Linked DNA regions of Macaca mulatta. The protein of the gene in region 3 interacts with the protein of the main gene of each other region in a biochemical or structural test. Links are inferred from orthologs where the notes say so. Each region holds a gene or a part of one and is shown on either strand. Other genes may lie near its edges.

Region 1 (5,159 bases), on a different chromosome or scaffold from region 3:
GGCCCGTGGGACAAGGCCCACAGGCCTCACGTGAGGCTGCTCCACTCCGGAGGAGGTGTTCCAGGGTCCCAGAGGAGAATAGGTGCTCAGTGTTTGCTGAGTGCACACGTAAAGGTAGCTCAGGTTAATTAACACACAAATACCGTTTTAGGCGCCCTTTATTTTGCACTTACCTTTTGTCTCGTACTTTTCATGCATTGTAACCTTAATATGCCCAGCAACGGCATATGACAGTCTTATGCCAATTTTATAAGTCAAGGAAATTGAGTCATAGAGCGATTAAGTTATTTGCCTAAGATCACAAAACTAGCTAGAGATGCAGCTGGAACTTGAACCCGGGGTCTGAGTACCAGCGCCAGTCCCTTGCCCTTGAGGTCAGTCTACTTGGAGACGTGTACATAGATAATTACAAGTTATAATACACTGTAAGTGGTTACTGTGATAAAGGTGTGTGCAGAGTGCAGTGGGAGCCAGAGAAAGGAAAACCACACACTGAGGGCGAGAAGGAAAGGACAGATGTCCTCAAGAAAGGCTTCACAGAAATTTAAGGATGAAACCTGCGGCCCACTAATGTCTCCTACCCTGCGCTAGTAATGAGTCTCGTTACCCTCCCTCTATAATTCCAACGTCACATTTCTAGTTAATTGTCAACTATAGGCCGGGCGCGGTGGCTCCTGCCCTTAATCCCAGCACTTTGGGATGCTGAGGTGGGCAGATCGCTTGAGCCTAGGAGTTTGAGACCAGTCTGTGCAACATAGTAAAACCCCGTCTTTACAAAAAATACAAAAATTAGCCGGGTGTGGTGGCATGCACCTGTAGTCCCAGCTACTTGGTAGGCTGAGGTGAGACGATTGCTTGAGCCCAGGAGGTTGAGGCGGCACTGACTCGTGATCATGCCACTGCACTCCAGCCAGGGTGACAGAGTGGGACCCTGACGCACCCCATCAAAAAATTACCAACTGAAAACAAATCCCACCCTACTTAGTGACAGAAAATTCAGTCCCCTCTTCCAAACAATCCTGAGAATCCTCAAAGGTTTTCATGCCGCACAAATCCATTCCTGACTAACTTGTTTCCTACTCGTGATTCAGTTAAGGCCAGAGTTTTACACTTGCTTGAACTTCAACCCTGGCATTCCCCAGTTCAGCCTCTTCCTTTCCTCAATAGACAGCATTCCAGGCCGGGTGTGGTGGGCTCATGCCTGTAATCCCAGCATTTTGGGACGCCAAGGCAGGCGGATCACTTGAGGTCAGGAGTTCAAGACCAGCCTGGCCAACATGGTGAGACCCCCCATCTCTACTAAAAAAGAAAAATACAAAAATTAGCCAGACATGGTGGTACACTCCTGTAATCCCAGCTACTTGTAAGGCTGAGACAGGAGAATTGCTTGAACCTGGGAGGTGGAGGTTGCAGTGAGCGGAGATCACATCACTGCACTCTAGCCTAGGCAACAGAGCAAGACTCTGTCTCAAAAAAAAAAAAAAAAAATTCCAGAATTCTGCTGCAAGCCACCACCTAGAGCTTCAGAATCACCAGCCACACACCTGCAGCTACCACCACTCTGGCCTGGGGGCTGGGGTCATATCCTAGAGGATGGAAGCAAATCTTAAGTGTGGACACAGCCCCCTCCCTTATTCCCCTAAGCATAGCAAACACCAACCAGGCTGTTGCTGAAAGTTTGGGGCATTACAAAGCTGAGAAGACTTAGAAGTGGCTATTAGATTATGCAGCATCTATAGTCCCTGGCCTGTCTCGCAAAGGAATTCTCTTCACCTCAAGGCCATCCCTTTACTCTTAACACCTTTGGCAAGCTGTCAACAGAAGGGACTTTTCCCTCTACCTCTATCCCGACATATTTCAGGCTGGACTCCCCGTAAATGTAATCAGAGTCAGGACTCCTATTAACAAAAGACAACCATTGGCATTATTGTGCAGAGCAGTTCAGTTACGTCTGTCCCTTCCACTCACTATGAGTGTTGGGCTTTGCCTTTGCCAAACCAAGAAGCCCGCTCAAGTACTGGGAGAGGATTCTCCCAAATAAAAGAGCAGTCTTCATTTAAACACAAATCATACGTCCTAAGAGAACGATTTTTTTCCAAGTTAAAAAAAAAAAAACACATAAATCAGAAAACTACAAGCTGCTGCCGGGCACGGTGGCTCACACCTGTAATGCCAGCACTTTGGGAGGCTGAGGCAGGCAGATCACAAGGTCAAGAGATCGAGACCATCCTGGCCAACATGGTGAAACCCCGTCTCCACTAAAAATTAACTGGGCGTGGTGGCGCGTGCCTGTAATCCCAGCTACTCTGGAGGCTGAGGCAGGAGAATTGCTTGAACCCGGAGGCAGAGGTTGCGGTGAGCCGAGATCACACCACTGCACTCCAGCCTGGCAACAGAGTGAGACTGTCTCAAACAAAACAAAACAAAACAAAACAAACAACAAACAAACAAAAACTACAAGCTGCTTTTGAATAGCAACCTATTCCAGGTCTGGCCACTGAGATTTAAGAAATATTGTGGTAGGCTGGGTGTGGTGACTCATGCCTGTAATCCCAGCACTTCGGGAGGTCCAGGCCGAATGATCGCTTGAGCCAGGGAGTTTGAGACCAGCCTGGGCAACACAGGGAGACCCTGTCTTTAAAAAAATTTTATTTTTAATTAGCCAAGAGTGGTGGCATGTGCCTGTAGTCCCAGCTACTTGAGAGACTGAGGTGGGAGGTCAAGGCTGCAGTGAGCTGTGATTTCACCACTGCACTCCAGCCTAAGTGACAGAGTGAGATTTATAATCTCAAAAAAAAAAAAGAAAAGAAAAAGAAAAAAATATATTGGGGTCACACTTGATAGCCCTGAGGTGCAACACAACAACACATTTTTTTTTTCCTTTTCCTGCCTCATAAATAGCACCCTTACAAACTCAATACTGAAACACAGGCCATCTGCCAGGAAGAGTGAGAAGGCTTCAGAATTACAGATCTCAATCAGAATCCCAGGGCCCCAACAGCAAACAATAACTCAAGAAACGAACGTGGCAATCCTCAGCCTCCCACCATGCATGCTCCCTCCATATCCTCTCAGTTACCCTCTAGAAGGAAGAAAAGGAGACACATCCTTATACTCGCTCCCACCTGGGACTTGTCTGCCGATTGGTGCCTTCGCTGTCCTGTGGTCCACAGTAGAGACATGGGTGACTGTCCAGCCACTGGCCAAGTGGGATTATCCTTAACCCCAACCCCACCACTGCCACAGCCTTGCCAGGACCCAGCAGCTCTTTACTGGAAGGCCATAGGAGAATCCCAAGGCCATATGGAGTAACAAGGACATTGAGATATCTGCCCTTGGCTTGGATAATTTTCAGCTTTGTACTGCAAGAGGGGCACAACCTCATTGCTTAAGCTTTTGTAGGTGTTCCAACCAGATGCCACAGTTCTCCAAGAAGATGCTTATCCCCTTCCAGCTGAGAGCAGCTCCTTGAAGCCTTTTCAGGGCCCCACCCCCTTCTTCCTCCAAACCTACCTCCCCTCCAATCCATTCTTTAGTCTTGCAAATTTCCCCTTTTAAAGCATTCAAAGAACGTTAACGAATTTCTTCTCAACTTTGTTTTTCCTGACCCCTGGACAGAAAAGAATTCTAGGCCATCTGTGGGAAGGGGTAAGGGCGCCTAGAGGAGGTCGTGTTGGCTTAGGCCTAATGTGCCTAAAATCCAACATAATTCACCACTCTGAAGAGTAATTTCTTTCTAGGTACCAACTCTTCTGGTACTTAAGAAAAACGTGTCCTCCTAATACTAAGTGACAGAGTGAGATTTATAGTCTCAAAAAAAGAAAAAGGAAAAGAAAAAAATATATTGGGGTCACACTTGATAGCCCTCCAGTGCAACACGACAACACACGAAGACTGATCTTATTCAATCTGTGCAATAATAACCTGGGCCATACTATACCAAAGGTGAATACACCCCTTTTGTGTCATAAATTTCATCATAAAACTGGCCAACATTGACTGCAAATGGCCCAGCCCACCTCCTATGGAGACATAGCGCCACACCTTACCTAAGCCTGCGTCCTGATCTATAAAATGGAGTTAATAAAACCTGCCTCTCAGATCTATGGATAGTTAAATATGTTTGTGAGCCAGGCGCAGTGACTCAGGCCTGTAATCCCAGCAGTTTGGGAGGCTAAGGTGGGCAGATCACTTGAGGTCAGGAGTTCCAGACCAGCCTGAGCAACATGGTGAAGCTCCGTCTCTACTAAAAATACAAAAATTTAGCCGGGCGTGGTGGTGGGTGCCTGTAATCCTGCCTACTCAGAAGGCTGAGGCATGAGAATCGCTTGTACCCGGGAGGCTGATATTGCAGTGAGCCGAGATCATACCACTACACTCCAGACTGGGCGACAGAGGGAGACTGTCTCAAAAAAAAAAAAAAAAAAAAGAAAAGAAAAGAAAAGATGATGGGCATTGTGGCTCACACCTGTAATCCCAGCACTTTGGGACACTGAGGAGGGTGGATCATGAGGTCAGTAGTTTGAGACCAGGCTGGCCAATATGGTGAAACCCCATCTCTACTAAAAAAATACAAAAATTAGCCAGGCGTGGTGACGTGCGCCTATAGTCCCAGCTACTCGGGAGGCTGAGGCAGGAGAATCACTTGAACCCGGGAGACGGAGGTTGCAGTGAGCCGAGATCGTGCCACTGCACTCCAGCCTGGGTGTCAGAGCAAGACTCCCTCTCAAAAAAAAAAAAAAAAAAAAAAGGAAAAGAAAGAAAAGAAAAGGAAGAAAAGGAAAAGTGTTTATATAGACGAAGGGCCTAGTCAGTGCCCAGCACAGCTAGCTGATGCTTAACATTTCTCTTGCCTCTCCTTCCTTTTCATATCTAATAAATCTTAACTTGCCTGGTCTGTATCATTCCTCTTTCCAAACCTATCAGAACTACAGTCCTTCCTTTTTTTTTTTTTTTTTTTTTTGAGACAGAGTCTCCGTCTGTTGCCCAGGCTGGGCAGTGGTGCTATTACAGGTGCCTGCCACCACATCCGGCTAATTTTGTATTTTTTGTAGAGACGGAGTTTCACCATGTTGGACATGCTGGTCATGAACTCCTGGCCTCAAGTGGTCCACCCACCTCAGCCTCCCAAAGTGCTGAGATTACAGGTGTGAGCCACC
Region 2 (5,165 bases), on a different chromosome or scaffold from region 3:
CCAAAGATTGAGATTTAAACAGCAGAAGTTCAACAAGAGCCAGGTGCTGGTTGACTGGATAATCACTTGGGGAGACAGTTTAAAAAACATCCCTTGGCCAGGTGCAGTGGCTCACGCCTGTAATCCCAGCACTTTGGGAGGCCGAGGCAGATGGATCATGAGGTCAGGAGTTCAAGACCACTCTAGCCAAGATGGTGAACCCCCGTCTCTACTAAAAATACAAAAATTAGCTGGGCGTGGTGACGGGTGCCTGTAATCCCAGCTACTTGGGAGGCTGAGGCAGATAACTTCTTGAACCCGGGAGGCAGAGGTTGCAGTGAGCCAAGATCATGCCATTGCACTCCAGCCTGGGCAACAGAGCAAGACTCCGCCTCCAAAAAAAAACAAAAAAGTGCCTGAGCTGTACTCCAGAAGTACCAAATCGGAATTTCTGGAGAGCTGGGAAATACGTATTAACAAATTCCCTAAGTGATGTGGGTATAGAGCACCAATTTATACACTACTCCCATTTGTCAAACAGATTTTTACAAATTATGACACACAATTAAAGTTTCCCAAGCTGCTGCAGCCTACCTCAATCATCTAAAAAGAATTCCAATCCATCAATGGGAATGGACAAGCTGTGTTGAGAAAGATTTAAGACAAAGACAATTTTTATCTTTAGGTGAAGTTCAAGTCCCAGAAACCTATCACACTGTCAGCTCTATCCCATGCAAATAGCAAAAGATCTGAGAAAGCAATTTCTTGTTCTCTAGGTAATATAACCAAACAGATGAGTGTTACTCACATAGTTCTTGACTTCTCGTCGAGCATTAGCATCAATAGCAAGCCACCTCTGCTGATATTGTGCCTTGATATCTGGATCTTTAGATGTCAAAGAGTTCTTGATTTGTAGACCAGCTGCAACTCTGGCAACCTGACTATTTCCTGGATTTGCCAGCACTCTGGACAGTTCCACAAGGAAAGTGGGCTGTTAAGGGAAGATAAATTTGTAAATAAAATTATCTTGGGAATTTCCACAACTGAGAATAATTTATGGAGCACTGAACCACCGGAGGAGGGGTGAGGTGGGGGGGGGAACTAATGTCTAATTTTTTTTTGGTATATCATAAGCATCTCAGGAAACCACAAAATACCTACTACAAGACTTCTATAAAAATGTTACTTAGTATATAACAGGAAGTCTTCCACCTTTCTCATGGAGCCTAGCACTTAATGAGGAATTGCAGATTTTCCTATCAAAATCATTCCTAGTACCCAAATTGTCACGTTATACTCCCTGAATTGCAAGGTTTTAGAGTATGGTAGTAGTTAGTCTTCTGTGTATACCGAGGTGTCCCAAGAATTCTTAATAATGTCTGGTACTTGAATGAATGGCTGTTACGATGCGGGTAGAAAATAAAACTGTTTATCTAAATTTCAAAAACCTTGGTCCCAAAAGAATGATCCAACTTTCCATCTCATGGCAGCAGCAGGGTAGCTTTTCATCCCATGGAAGGAGGTGATCTTTTATGAGAGAGGGAAATATAGATAAGCCTAAACAAACTTAGGAGCCTCATCCTCCGTTTTATTTGTGGGCACTCAGCAAAAAGGGAACAACGAAAAAAGCAGATTTACAAGGAAAATTGGTAAGATATTTAGAAATAGGGAAAAAGTGAAAGAAAAAAATCTTCAGGCAAGCTGTTCAAGAAAAATAACTTTGTATCTAATAATCAACAATTACTTGCTCCTATACATTTGGACTTTAGTTGAGGAATACAGTGGATCCCTGAAAAGCATGTTCTTTTGTAACCTTTTGTAATCCACAGGCCTCAAAAACTACTCCCTTTGTTTAAAAATTTAACACACACACCTCTCTCTCCAGCAAAAAAACCGTGCCCAAACAGCAAAGTTAGCAGGAAAAGCCAAAAGCAGATACATTTTTCTTACTGCTAACAAGTTCTGCAATCACAGCAGAAGATAATTCTTAAAAGTTTTATTAATTATGTACCACTAAAGAATGTTAAGAATGTTAGGAATAAGATAAAAAGCTTCTTGCAAAATTAGCAAAAGCAGAAACAGGAATAATACCCTAAATGGAATTATCAGCCTATACTAGTGGAAAAATCTATTCTAGGAAAGGATAAACAGGTTAGTTGTAAAAATTGGCACATATGAAGAACAAAAAAAAAATCATTCAAAGGCAGCCTGTATAAAATAAGCCTTGTCACTTTGTTGATGTTGACATTTTGCCTATATAACACAAAGAAACACATATGGTTACAATGTTATTCAGACTTATTTCCTATTACCTTTCTCAAAGATGTCAAGCATCATCCAATCCTTCCCTCTGACCCCATCTCCCAATAGGAGATGGACACCAAAGAGAAACTTAACTGGCATCTAGGCTGTTTCAACCAATCCATCCTACATTTTTATACAAAGGACCAGTCTCTAGCGGACTTAGCTTCATTTTCTCCGGACCCCTTAAATTTTAAAATATGAAAAACGAGTAACTTTCCTCTGTGATTTCATCAGGAAACAGGCCCGATCTCAAAGATGAGCCTCAGACTGTTGTCTGGGTGCAGATCCCTAGTGATTAGGTTTCTATTCATCCAGGTCAGAAGGAAAGGAAAAAAAAAAAAAAGGAAGAAAAAGAAAATACCCCGAGAGGAATAACCGGGCAGAAGAGGGAAAAATATTAGTGGAAATGGGTTAAGAGGCAGTCGGGTGCCAGGCCTGGCCATGAGCACACACCAAGGTAGCGAGGAAAGGGCAGAGCTCTAGGAAATAGGTGGGGAGAGCCACAGGGGCCACGGGACAGGAAGGATAAGCCGGCCGGGGTCAGACAGGGAGGGCACCCGGGCCCAGAGCTTCCACATGGCCCCTAGGCCTGACTCCCCCACCCCCACCTCTGCTGAACACGCAGCGCCGCGCAACCTAACTTCCCTTCCCTCCCTCTTTCTCCCTCCCGCTGCACCGCCGCCCTCAGGCCGCGCAATGATTGGGCGACAGGCAGCCCGGCGCGCCCCGCCATTGGCCAGTCGCAGGGCCCGGGGCGGGACACACCCACCGGCTTCCCGATGGCGGGGTTAGGTTGGACCGGGTTGGGGGGGAGGGGGACGGGATGGGGCGGGGTAGGTTCCCGAGGCCTGGGCCTCCCGGAGGGCGGGAAGGCCCCGCACGCAGGGGATGGGGACGCGGCGGGATGGGCGCGGCGGGGTAGCACGCACCAGGTTCTCCACGGCCGCACGCTCCAGGAACTTCTGCGCCGCTTCCAGCTCCAGCCGATCTGGGGGGAGGAAAGTGGGAGACGGAGCGGGGTCAGAGGGGCCGGGCCTCCCCTCCCCCACCCCAATCACCTCAGCCCGACCCCCGGCTCCTGCGTCCTACCGGGAGACACGGTCTTCTCGAGGATGGTGATCAGCTCCATGGCGGAGGTGGCGGCGGCGGCGACTCCTCCTAAGACGACGGCCCGGCCTTTCGGGCGGCGGCTCGAACTGGGGATGGGGGTTGGGGGTCGGGTGGGAAGGGAGGGTGGGGTGGGGGGCGGGGGTCACCACAAGCCCATTCACCGGCTCTTTCTGGGTAGTCGCTCCAGCTCCCCTTAGTCTCTTCTTCTCTTACTTCCTCCCTCCGAATGGGCTGCTGGCAGCGGGGGAGGGACCCCGGGGGCAGCTCAGAGCGCGCTGGTGCTCGGGAGGCGGAGGGAGAAAGAAGGAAGAGAAGCTGTGAGTGAGAGGCGGCACGCAGGGAGGGAGCGAGGGCGGGAGGAAGGCGGAGGGATATTCGGGCCGGACCTCGCCGCGGCGGCGCCGCGCTCCACGGCGATTGGCCGCTGTTCTGGCCACGCGGAATCCCCAATTGGCCAGGCGCTCAGCGTCGAAAGGCCGCCTTTCGCCCATTCGCCTGCTGGTTTCAAGGCCCGGGTGGCTGGGCGGGCAGGGGAATGGAGCGCCCTAATTGGCCGAGGGGAGGGAGATTGGGATGGGGCCGGAGAGAGCCCGCCGCTGATTGGGTTGGGCTTGGTAAAGGCCTTGAGCTCAGACCGGCTGAGCGCCGAGGAGGGTGGACCGAAGGCACGACTCGGAGCCTGCGCGATTGGCTGGGATAGTGGGCGTTGATAGGATAGGGTGCCTGGGAGAACTGGGGAGAGGAGTTCGGGGTCGGGGCGCGGGAAGGCGGGAGGCGCCCGGCTGCCCTCGGAGCCCGGCGCGGGGCACGATGGGACGCCCCCGGGAAGAGGCGGAGCTGGGTTCGACCGCTGGGGCTGCGGTTGGGTAAGCGCCGTCGCTCCGAGGGGCGTGTTGAGCGAGGCTTTCGCGGGCGTGAGCGGGGGAGGGGGGACCGTTGAAGTCCTGCGCCGCGCCCGCAGGAAGCTGCTTTAATGGCTAGGTCGGCTTGGTACCCTGCTCTTGGCTGGGACGGATCCGTAAGGCCATGTGGCTCCACTTGAAATGTGTAGATGTGGAAACTGAAGCCCAGAGAGGGTATGGAACTTGCCCAAAGTCACACAGCCGGTTAGTGGCTTGGTAAGGAATGGGTTCAGGAGCCTAGAGGGTATGGAACTTGTCCAAGGTCGTACAGCTGGTTAGTGGCTTGATAAGCTCAAGCTCTCCTGACTGCCGTTGTCCCTACAAGCAGCTTTCTCTCCAAGGAGTCCCCTAGGCCTGCTTATATAGGGCTTGAGACCTGTACTAAGTCTGACTTGCTTAGGGGTGAGCTAAGGGAATCCTACACTTAGACACCCCATCCTTGACAGAATGGAAATGCTTCACCCTGTAAAGGCTCAACCTCGAACCAGAAAGAATGTGTGTACAGGCATAAAGGATCGTGGTTCTTGACCTGTTTTAGTTCTGAACTCCTGAAGAAACTCATGAATGCCTTTTCTTAGCAAAATGCATATAAAGAAAATGTGGGCCGGATGCGGTGGCTGATGCCTGTAATCCCAGCACTTTGGGAGGCCGAGCGGGGCGGATCACGAGTCGGAGACCATCCTGGCCAACATGGTGAAACCCCGTCTCTACTAAAATACAAAAAAATAGCCCGGCGTGGTGGCGCATGCCTATAGTCCCAGCTACTCCTGAGGCCGAGGCAGGACGATCTCTTGAACCCTGGAGGCAGAGGTTGCAGTGAGCCGATATTGCGCTCCGTCTCAAAGAAAAGAAAAAAATGTGCATACAGTA
Region 3 (5,046 bases):
TTATTACCCTTATTACCCTGCAGTTATCTGAGCAAGACAATGAATTTGTCTGCACGACTTCATGCAAGATGACATTTTAAAGATCAGAAGTTGGGCCCAGCACAGTGGCTCATGCCTGTAATACCAGCACTTTTGGGAAGCTAAGGTGGGCGGATCACCTGAGGTCAGGAGTTTGAGACCAGCTTCACCAACATGGCGAAAACTGGTCTCTAAAAATACAAAAATTAGCCAGGTGTGGTGGCGCATGCCTGTAATCCCAACTACTTGGGAGGCTGAGGCAGGAGAATGGCGTGAACTCATGAGGCGGAGGTTGCAGTGAGCCAAGATTGCACCACTGCACTCCAGCCTGGGCCACACAACGAGACTCCATCTCAAAAAAAAAAAAATCAGAGCTTAAGAGGGAAAGTGGTAAACTTATAGCATTTCCCAGGAGAGCTAAATCCAGAAGTCAAAACAGGAAATTACAAGTCAAATGAACACATGCAGAAGTCACAGGTACTGGGTGACCGTACTAGCAAGTTGCCCTGACAGGCACTGGCAAACATCCATCAAGTAAGAGCACCAGACCTCTCACTGTTTCTTACTTCAGCTTTCCGCTATACTACCAAAAGCTTAATTTTTGCTCAGAAACCCTTGGACACTTAATCAAATAACATGAGTATAAAACATGCCATGTCATGAAGCTTGCTTCATGATGACTCAGCAGCTGCTGCAAAACATCCAGTTCACAGTCTAGGATAGTAGACAGCAAGTGAGTAGACCCTATGTTCACCAAAGTCTCAATAAGGACTAAAGAAAGCCCTTATTTTTAAGATTAAAAAAAAAAAATAGAGTATTCTTTTGAATGTACCTGAATACTTTTCTTGGGTAGTGGTAGTTTCTGACAATATTAAAGAGCACCTACAGTGTTGATCAAGAAACCCCTAAATACCTTTAATTCCCAATTCAAAAGCTAAAATATGTTTTCTTTTTTAATTAAATAGCCAGAGCAAGAAGCAAAAGTATTTTAGATAAGGGGCAATGATAAACTATCAAGATTTAAAACAAAACTACACAGCCTGAAGCCATATCAACTCTAAGACACCTTGGATCATAGGTATTATGCTGTTAAGGCATCGTCTCCCCAAAATTAGATTTTTATTTTATCTAAGTACATTTCAAAATAAGCTGTGATAACTTCAGACATTTGGAAAATATTAATTCCCTTCTAACCTCTATCCAGACCATCCAATGACCTATATTTAAAACACGTCATTTTTCTATACATGTCATACAAGAAAATCTAAGCACTCAAAGGCATTCATAGGAGAAAAGAAAGCATGCATGTCTAACTTCCATTCTATAGAAGGATTAGGTTAAATGGCCAGGCTTGTGACCTGAATTCTAATCTTAAATCTGCTTGCAAATACCCCTGTTCGTCACAAATTTGAAAACTAAGTACTTTACATATATATCTCGGGGAAAATTGGTAGAAGTAATAACAATGCCAAACCTAACCATCAGTAGAGAACGACTTAAAATACCTGAGCCACGATTTTCACTACTCAAACATTTCCCTCAAAATAAAAAACATTTAAGAAAACTTAAAAAAAAAAAGTCCTCAAATCTTTACCTTCCCCCCCGCCCCGCCCCAGACGGAGTCTGGCTCTGTCGCCCAGGCTGGAGTGCAGTGGCGCGATCTCGGCTCACTGCAAGCTCCGCCTCCAGGGTTCACGCTACTCTCCTGCCTCAGCCTCCCGAGTAGCTGGGACTACAGGCGCCCGCCACCACGCCCGGCTAATTTTTTTATATTTTTAGTACAGACGGGGTTTCACCGTGTTAGCCAGGATAGTCTCCATCTCCTGACCTCGTGATCCCCCCGCCTTGGCCTCCTTAAGTGCTGGGATTGCAGGCGTGAGCCAAGGCGCCCGACCCATACTTTTACAAATCTGTTGATAATGACACAATTTAACAACATCAACCATGTGAAAGTGTGTAATATTTATTAGCATCCAGAATAAAGTAATCTAGGAAGTCTACCTTTAACAGTAGGCAACAAGTTATCAGATCCTTTTGCTACACTTTTGTTTTTCAACAAATTTAAAACACACACTTCCCACCTCAGTATCATTGATAAATTTTTAAGTGGCTTTATTAAAATAAGTTAACATTTTCCTATTCAATCCTTCTAACAACCAATTATTTTAAAAATGGAATTTTCTCAGAATCAACTACCTCATTTACAATTACGATAATCTTTTTTTATAATTTTAAACATCCACGAATTCATACACTGGCTAAACTATAAGATCACCAACATTCCTGGAGCGTCAAAAGTAACTAAACTTCTAGAATACGCCTCATAATATTAAAATATTTTGTGTATGAGATCAGAGCTGGAGTCCTGGTCAACTGTGGAGAATGGCCAATTCCAGCCTCCAAAATAAAAGCGGGGGTGGGGGGGAGTCGCGCAGCAGAGAAAAGACGTAAGGGTGGAGAGGGACTTTCAAAATGCCCCAGTGCCACGGTTAACTATAACCCGGTTAAGAAAACCTAAGCCAATGCTCTCAAGACGAGGAGGAACACCGGCAGGGGAAACCGAGAATTAATTCATAGGCTGAGACTAAGTTATTCCACTTTCCATGTAACAGCGCCCCCCACAACTCCCCGTCTGCCCCAGAGTTAAGATTCCTCGGGGCAGCCCACTCCCCACACACACACACTAAAGGAGGGACACCAGAAAACAACAAGGGCAATCAACCACAACTTTTCCTTTCTCCCTCGAGAGGACGTGAGTAATACCCTCAAACTCCAAATCCCCGCCAAAAAAGAAAGAAACGCGCGCATCCTGGGCCTACAATTTCTTTTCCCGCCCAGAGCCTGCCTGGGAAAACCCCTGACCCAGAGGGTTGGGGGAAAGGCGGCCCAAACCACACGTGTGCGCCGCAAGGCTGGACCTGTCTCAGCCCACTTCCCGTCGCCACCCCCAACGGCCTGAGCTCCCCCGAAGCCTCACTCGGGCCTTTCCTCAGGCCCTCCTGTCTGCTCCACGTGGGGCGCCGGGGCCTCGAACCGCCCGTCCCCTCCAGCCGAGTTTCCCCACCCGCCAGGCCACCGCGGCGTCGGGGTCCCATACCTGATGCTGTTGTCGCCCCTGCTGGTAAGGCTTAATTGGCCCCTGGTGGCAACGCCGCGTCCGGATCTTGCCGCCACCGCCCCCTCCGACTCCTCCGGCTCCCGAGGCCATGGCGGAGCCTCCGCCGCTTCCCGCTCCGGGGCGGGTAAGGGGGCGGGAGAGGCAGAGGCGGAGGCCTTAGAGCGCCCCCCCCGCCGCCCGGCCCCGGCCCAAAAGTCCGCCCGAGCTGTCCACACAGTGGGCACAAGCACCCCAGGAACCGCGAGGTTGCGAGCAGGAGCGGAGAGAGGGTGAGTGCTGGCAGCGGGGAAGGGGGTGGCGGCCGCAGAGGCCGAGGAGGCTCCGGTCCCGCCGCCTCTGCGGACCCCCGCCTCTGTGTATGTCACGGTCTCTATGGAGATCTCCCGCAGAGGACAGCACTAACAGCTCCCGGCGGTGCTGAGGCCTAACTCGACCGCCGACTGGTGGGGATTCTTCCGTCGCCCTAGCCGTAGCTGCCGCAGTTGAAGCCGCTGGCGCCGCCCGCCTACCCCTCCCCTGTGCGCACAGCGCCCGCCCCGCCGTCGTCGTCGTCCCTGCAGCCTCCGCCGCCGTTGCGCCTATTACCGCGGCTAAGGCGGCTGCCGCGGTCGCGAGCCAGAATGTCGTCACTCACAGGCGCCCGACGCATTTGCATCATCATGCTACGACGAGCTGGTAGGCAAAGAGGAAGGACTGATGGAGTCCACTCTCTCGGCCGCGCGGCACGCTGGGAAACGTAGTTCAACAACGGAACGCGGATTCTCGGAAAGGGAGAGGGACGGGGAAGGAGATCCCCGGAGCGCCGCAGAGGCACAAAGCCAAGGGGTACTTTTGCCGTTCTTGGTTGTAAATTAGACTCTGAAAAGGCACTTAACATAAAAACAGTAACTTCTTCCCACTCTCCTTCTCCCTGTCGGTTGGTTAAGTGGGCAGGAAGTAAGCAGATAGTAAAATCAAAGAGCTAATGATTTAAGAAGGAGGAAAAAAATCTGTGGTTGAAAAACAATGTCCATGATCCTTAGAATTAGAAAATATATACGACTTCATTAATGTTTATTTAAACATATAAAGGCTTTGTTGCCAGACACACGGGGCTGGAATTCTGGTTCCGCCACCCAACCTATTTGACCTTGGATGAATCAAAACCGTCTGAGCCTTAGCTTCCTCCTCCATAAAATGGGAGTTTTATAAAGCTGTTGTGAGAGGCAGACGTGATCATCTATGGAGAGCATGTATATTTACTAATAGGCGAAAAATGCAATGAATGATTACAATTTTAACCCATACAGTCAGCTAACATTAGAGGTAAGTGATAGATACATCCTTACTAATAAAAGTATACCGTATTTGCTCCAAATAGAAGGCATTGTATTTAGGAAACTGAGTAAGTGAACTAGACTCAAAGACTGAATCCACAAAATATATATTCTAGGAGTTGACGATTAGAAAGGCCCTGGTGATCACATAGTCCAACCCTCTCATTCAACCAACCAGACAAGAGGTCCAGAGAAATTTAGGTGGCACAATCAATGACACTGAGATGGGTAATCAAAGCCAGGACTATAACCCAACTTTTCTGTAAGAGTTAAAGACAAATAGCCAAATGATTAGGGAGGAAAAATCTATTGTGAAAAATCTTAGACTTACTATAAAGCTTATTTTTTCTTTCTTTCTTTTTTTTTTTGAGAGACAGTCTTGCCCTGTAGCCCAGGCTGGAATGCGGTGGTGCAACCTTGGCCCACTGCAACCTCTGCCTCCCAGGTTCAAGTGATTCTCCTGCCTCGGCTACCTAAACAGCTAGGACTACAGGTGTGCACCACCACGCCCAGCTAATTTGTGTATTTTTAGTAGAGATGGAGTTTCGCCATGTTGGCCAGGCTGGTCTTGAACTGCTGACCTCAAGTGATCCA
Region 4 (4,978 bases), on a different chromosome or scaffold from region 3:
CCCCACCACCCTCAGGCCTATGAAACACACAGGGTTCTAGATTTGGACTCTGTGTGTGAAGTGACTGGAAGGGAACAGAGGCCAGCTGGGGGCCAGTGGGGTAGGTTGTCTCCACTAGGAGACTTTTATAAACCCTCTCCAGCCTCTCCCAAAGGAAACGTTGGCAGCAAAGGGAGATGATGCCTTTCCCCACCTTCCTGTGAGTGAAGAGAGGAAGCAGCCCCAGGGACCAATTTTCCCAATTGACCTCTTTCTTCCTCTTTCACCATGTGGGGCAGGGAACCCTGAGCCCTTCAGCTGCCTGCACAACCCCTGACATTGGCTGCTGGTGACTCTCAATCTGCCAAATGTGCTGCAGCCCGTTTTCTCCCAATTACAGCAAGACTGTCAGCCTCACTAGCCATGTCATCATTTCTGGGTGGGAGCGTCGAAGGGCCTAGGCAGCGAGTGGAGTGAGCCCACTGCCCAGTACCAGAACTGAAAGGGTTGGGCTAATGGCTGTGCCAGGTATCACTGCTGAGGCAGGCTATTTTGGGCTCTGACACACAGCTGCCTCTAGACAGGGGAGAACCAAGTGTTGCAACACTTGATTAGCATGGAAACTTCCTTTCACACAGAAGCAGGATCCCAGAGGGGGTCCCTGATTGGTGGCAGCTTCCAAGACCATCTCAAACAGTGTTTGGACCTGTTTCATCTGTATCCTCCAACTATTTGGCCGTAATTCTTCCTTGAGCTAAGCAAGGCAGAAGCTCTGCCTGCTGCCAGGAGTGGAAGGTGAAGAATTTGTTCCCAACTCCAGTTGAGGCTTTTGATTCCCTCAAAGCACTTCACCAAATCAAAGCCAGTCACAGAGAATGGAGGAAACACCTGCCCAAAATACCCACCGTCCAGAGAGATTAATGTGCTTTGTTCTTCCTGACCAAGACTCGCAACCACATTCTGAGGACGCTCCAGTGCCCCTGTCTCATACATTCCAAAGGAAGCTGAAGCTATAGAGACAACAATCAATCAGGGGCTGATGGTGGTGCTTTTGGGGGTCTAGGAGAGCCCAAGGCCCTGATATTTTAAAATGTCCTCCTCCTCGGCATCTCCAGCAAGTTGCCACTGCTGGTGAGCTTCACTGTCTGCCCCGTTGACACGATGGGTTTCTAACAGGGGACGCCATTGATGGAAGGTCTGTGAAGACAATGCTCGGCAAACCCCTGACAGATGTCGTCTCATTTGACTCAGCAACTCAGGGTGGGGTGGGGGAAATTCACAGAATAGAAATTCATTTATTTCACAAATACATGTTGAATTTTTACTATGTGCCAGGCATAGTACCTGCCGAGTCAAGCCCTCGAGGGAAAAAAAGCCTTTAGTCAACGTTCGAGCTCACATTCTAATTCTCAACTTCGTGATTTGTTAATCCATCTTATAGGCGAAGAAAGCGAGGCATAGACAAGGAGCCGAGCTGACACACTGGCTAGATGCGGGTAGGGGTCTGAGCCATCACTCCCACCCGGAGGCGCGGTCTCCATTCCTCGGAAGCCCTTGGTACGGCCCCGTTCCCCGCTGAGTTCTGGGCTGCAGCGGCAGCACTCTGCTCTAGCACTAACTCAAGCTGCCAGGGCAGCGTCAGCGGACAGATGAAAACATGCGGGGACCTGCTGGCTACCAGCCGGGGTTCCGCAAGCTCAGGTCTTGGGCGGGGCGCGGAGGGTCAGGCCCCGCCCCTCGCACGACGGCCTTAAGTGTGCGCACGCGCAGGGGGTCGCGCTTTCTCCGGGCGGCGACACCGCCTCCAGCCTGGGACGTCAGCGGCGCGCGACGTGCTTTGCTATATAAATGCGGTGGCGCCCGGCGTAGGGACACTTCGGTCCTGAGTGCTTGGGCGTTCGGTCGTTTGCCGGCGTAGCGGCCAGCGCTTGAGCCCGCCCTTGCTCTTCGCTGTGGCATGGCGGACGAGGGGAAGTCGTACAGCGGTCAGTGCTGGTCCTCGGGTCGGGAACCGGCTATCTGGGGCGCGGGTGGGCGGCGCCGGCCTAGGCCTCAGCCTCCGGGGCGTGAGGCCGCCAGGGGCCCGACGTCCGCGGGGAGCGGCGCGCGGGGGGTCGGGGGCACTCGAGGTGGATTACCGAGTTGTTGACTCCTGGATTCCTCCTGGAATCCTGGTGTTGGGGGACCTGCGGCTCGGAGCGGGTGGCTCGGGGGTAGGGGGACGGGATTCCTTTGAACTTTGTGGGTGGTTGATGCCTGTCAGTTCGGTTTGGCGGCCTGACTCTTCCTTTAATGTGAGTTAGTGCCCTACTCATGGGCTGCCCTGGTGCCCTATTTTTTACTGCGTCCAGTCGGTCTTGAACCCTCGGGCCTGGGCTTTGGCTTAATATTCGAGACTTACACATCAACTGGATGTTCCAGTCTGAACACTACACTGGGTGTTAGTTCTTTGTAGTAGTTAGGAGTGCATGGTGGAGGTTGAAACCGTGAATTTAAAACTCTCCTCTTCCACCCCTTTAAAGTGGAATAACAACAGTATTTCTTAAGAGTTGGGGGGGAAGTAGGGGGGAAAATGAGATCATTCCTATCAAGTGCCTGAAGCATAGTGGCCGGTACTGGAGAACAGTTCTCAATGAATGTTAGCTGCGCCTTCTGTGTTCTTTTTTCCTAGGGTCATTTGTTGAGATTCATTGTTTACAGAGTGCTCGGTATTAGGCAGATCTCTTTTGGGAGTTAGGGACCCTTTTTAAGACGCTAGTCCTGCACAGCATGAATCAGATCATATTCCTGGAGAGCATTCCAGGGTCCCTGGTTAAGCACCCTAGCCTGGCACTACCACTAGAGCCTGAGTCTAGAAATTGTCTCCTGAGTTAAAGGGCATTTCTGGCCAAGGAATCGAAGAGCTCCTCAGAAAACTTCAAAGTGGCAATTTGAGAACAAGGAGAATTTTTAGAGGATCCTTAAACTGATCATATTTGTAACTGGCATCTGTACTGTATAGACAAAGTATTGAGTGGCAGATTTCAGGTGGCTTTCAGAGGTCTGATTTGTGTTCACTTACACTTTGGGGTCTCACATTTATACATTCTGCTTCTAATTCCAGTTTCTACTTCATTTTTCAAAAGCCCTGCACAGATTTCCAATAACTTTTCCTTGATGCTGACCTCCCACAGAGAGAGTTCTTTCCTGTGGACAGGCAGCGGAGTTTGCATGGAGATGGCCTGTGTAGTTAGTATGTATCTCTTCCAGTAGTTCAGAGTAGAAACTATGATTGCCACACCAAGCCGGACCAGTTACTTCTAATTTGTGTTCCTGTTTCTAACTCCAGAACACGATGATGAACGCGTTAATTTCCCTCAAAGAAAGAAAAAAGGCCGGGGTCCCTTCCGGTGGAAATATGGTGAAGGAAACCGTAGGTCTGGAAGAGGCGGTTCTGGTATTCGGTCTTCCCGCCTGGAGGAAGATGATGGAGATGTGGCAATGAGTGATGCCCAGGATGGTCCCCGAGTACGATAGTAAGTGACCAGTTGGTCTGGTTTGAATTTAGTGGCTCATGAGATTATATGGCCCTTTTACTGTCCATGTCATTTTCCTTCCCACCTGTTATAGTGAGAAATGCCAGGACTAGCTTAGCGATTGAACAGTCTTAGTTTAGTCCCGCCAACACAGTGCAGGAAGGTCTTTGAGAAGACTTTCCTAGCATTTGTGGTCATTTTATCCTCTGTTTACCCACAGCAACCCCTATACCACCCGACCTAACCGTCGGGGTGATACTTGGCATGATCGAGATCGCATTCATGTTACTGTGCGGAGAGACAGAGCTCCTCCAGAGAGAGGAGGGGCTGGCACCAGCCAGGATGGGACCTCAAAGAACTGGTTCAAGATTACAGTGAGTACTTTGAGCAAGTAGATGGTACAGTAGAGATCGGAGGCCACGCTCAGAGTAGAGATGTTTAATTTTATTCCACAAAAATTATTCTTTTTTTTTTTTTCGAGACGGAGTCTCGCTCTGTCGCCTAGGCTGGAATGCAGTGGCCGGATCTCAGCTCACTGCAAGCTCCGCCTCCGGGGTTCACGCCATTCTCCTGCCTCAGCCTCCCGAGTAGCTGGGACTACAGGCACCTGCCACCACGCCCGGCTAGTTTTTTTATTTTTTAGTAGAGACGGGGTTTCACCGGGTTAGCCAGGATGGTCTGGATCTCCTGACCTCGTGATCCGCCCGTCTCGGCCTCCCAAAGTGCTGGGATTACAGGCTTGAGCCACCGCGCCCGGCCTTTTTTTTTTTTTTTTTTTAATGGAATCTTGCTCTGTCATCCAGGCTGGAGTGCGGTGGCGTGATCTCGGCTCACTGCATCCTCCGCCTCCTGGGTTCAAGCGATTCTTCTGCCTCAGCCTCCTGAGTAGCTGGGACTACAGACACCCACCACCACGCCCAGCTAATTTTTATATTTTTAGTAGAGACAAGGTTTCACTGTATTGGCCAAGCTGGTCTTGAACTGCTGACTTCGTGATCCGCCCGCCTTGGCCTCCCAAAGTGCTGGGATTATAGGCATGAGCCAGCGCGCCCAGCCCAAAAATTATTCTTGTTAGCTGATTACGCCATAGTCAAGTATCTGTCTCTTCTCCTAGGAATCAGTATCTTCCAACACCTTAGAGCAGGTTCAGAGAAGGGGTGGAAGAGAAATACGAAAACTGTGGTTGTGGAAGGAGTAATTCCTCTGGATGTCTTCATTTGGCTCAGGCTGAGTATGGGGCTTGGAGTCCATGAAGTTCTCTGAGGGACAGGCAAGGTGTAAATAATATCTTGAAACTTTTAGAATAAAAAAAATTGATTTTTTTTTTTTTTTTTTTGAGACGGAGTCTCGCTCTGTCGCCCAGGCTGGAGTGCAGTGGCGCAATCTCGGCTCACTGCAAGCTCCGCCTCCCGGGTTCACGCCATTCTCTGGCCTCAGCCTCCTGAGTAGCTGGGACTACAGGCGCCCGCCACTGCGCCCGGCTA

The links.
Region 1: the proteins of NUP153 (region 3) and SENP2 form a complex in vitro, tested with the Homo sapiens proteins (2 studies listed by BioGRID). The link is inferred for Macaca mulatta from reciprocal best matches to the Homo sapiens genes NUP153 and SENP2.
Region 2: the proteins of NUP153 (region 3) and KPNB1 form a complex in vitro, tested with the Homo sapiens proteins (4 studies listed by BioGRID and IntAct, with this or other methods). The link is inferred for Macaca mulatta from reciprocal best matches to the Homo sapiens genes NUP153 and KPNB1.
Region 4: the proteins of NUP153 (region 3) and NXF1 form a complex in vitro, tested with the Homo sapiens proteins (2 studies listed by BioGRID and IntAct). The link is inferred for Macaca mulatta from reciprocal best matches to the Homo sapiens genes NUP153 and NXF1.

Annotation. Positions count from the first base shown.
Region 1 is NC_133407.1:97,734,239-97,739,397, reverse strand, and holds the start of SENP2 (sentrin-specific protease 2), read right to left. Parts: upstream 3,443-5,159; 5' UTR 3,386-3,442; coding exon 3,126-3,385; intron 115-3,125; exon of another isoform or gene 1-114. UniProt on the Homo sapiens protein: Protease that catalyzes two essential functions in the SUMO pathway.
Region 2 is NC_133421.1:62,381,159-62,386,323, forward strand, and holds the start of KPNB1 (importin subunit beta-1), read right to left. Parts: upstream 3,753-5,165; 5' UTR 3,413-3,752; coding exon 3,373-3,412; intron 3,272-3,372; coding exon 3,213-3,271; intron 2,955-3,212; exon of another isoform or gene 2,292-2,954; intron 971-2,291; coding exon 788-970; intron 1-787.
Region 3 is NC_133409.1:165,356,456-165,361,501, reverse strand, and holds the start of NUP153 (nuclear pore complex protein Nup153), read right to left. Parts: upstream 3,401-5,046; 5' UTR 3,227-3,400; coding exon 3,116-3,226; intron 1-3,115. UniProt on the Homo sapiens protein: Component of the nuclear pore complex (NPC), a complex required for the trafficking across the nuclear envelope. Functions as a scaffolding element in the nuclear phase of the NPC essential for normal nucleocytoplasmic transport of proteins and mRNAs.
Region 4 is NC_133419.1:11,249,930-11,254,907, forward strand, and holds the start of NXF1 (nuclear RNA export factor 1), read left to right. Parts: upstream 1-1,850; 5' UTR 1,851-1,936; coding exon 1,937-1,964; intron 1,965-3,307; coding exon 3,308-3,494; exon of another isoform or gene 3,495-3,525; intron 3,526-3,679; exon of another isoform or gene 3,680-3,714; coding exon 3,715-3,868; intron 3,869-4,978.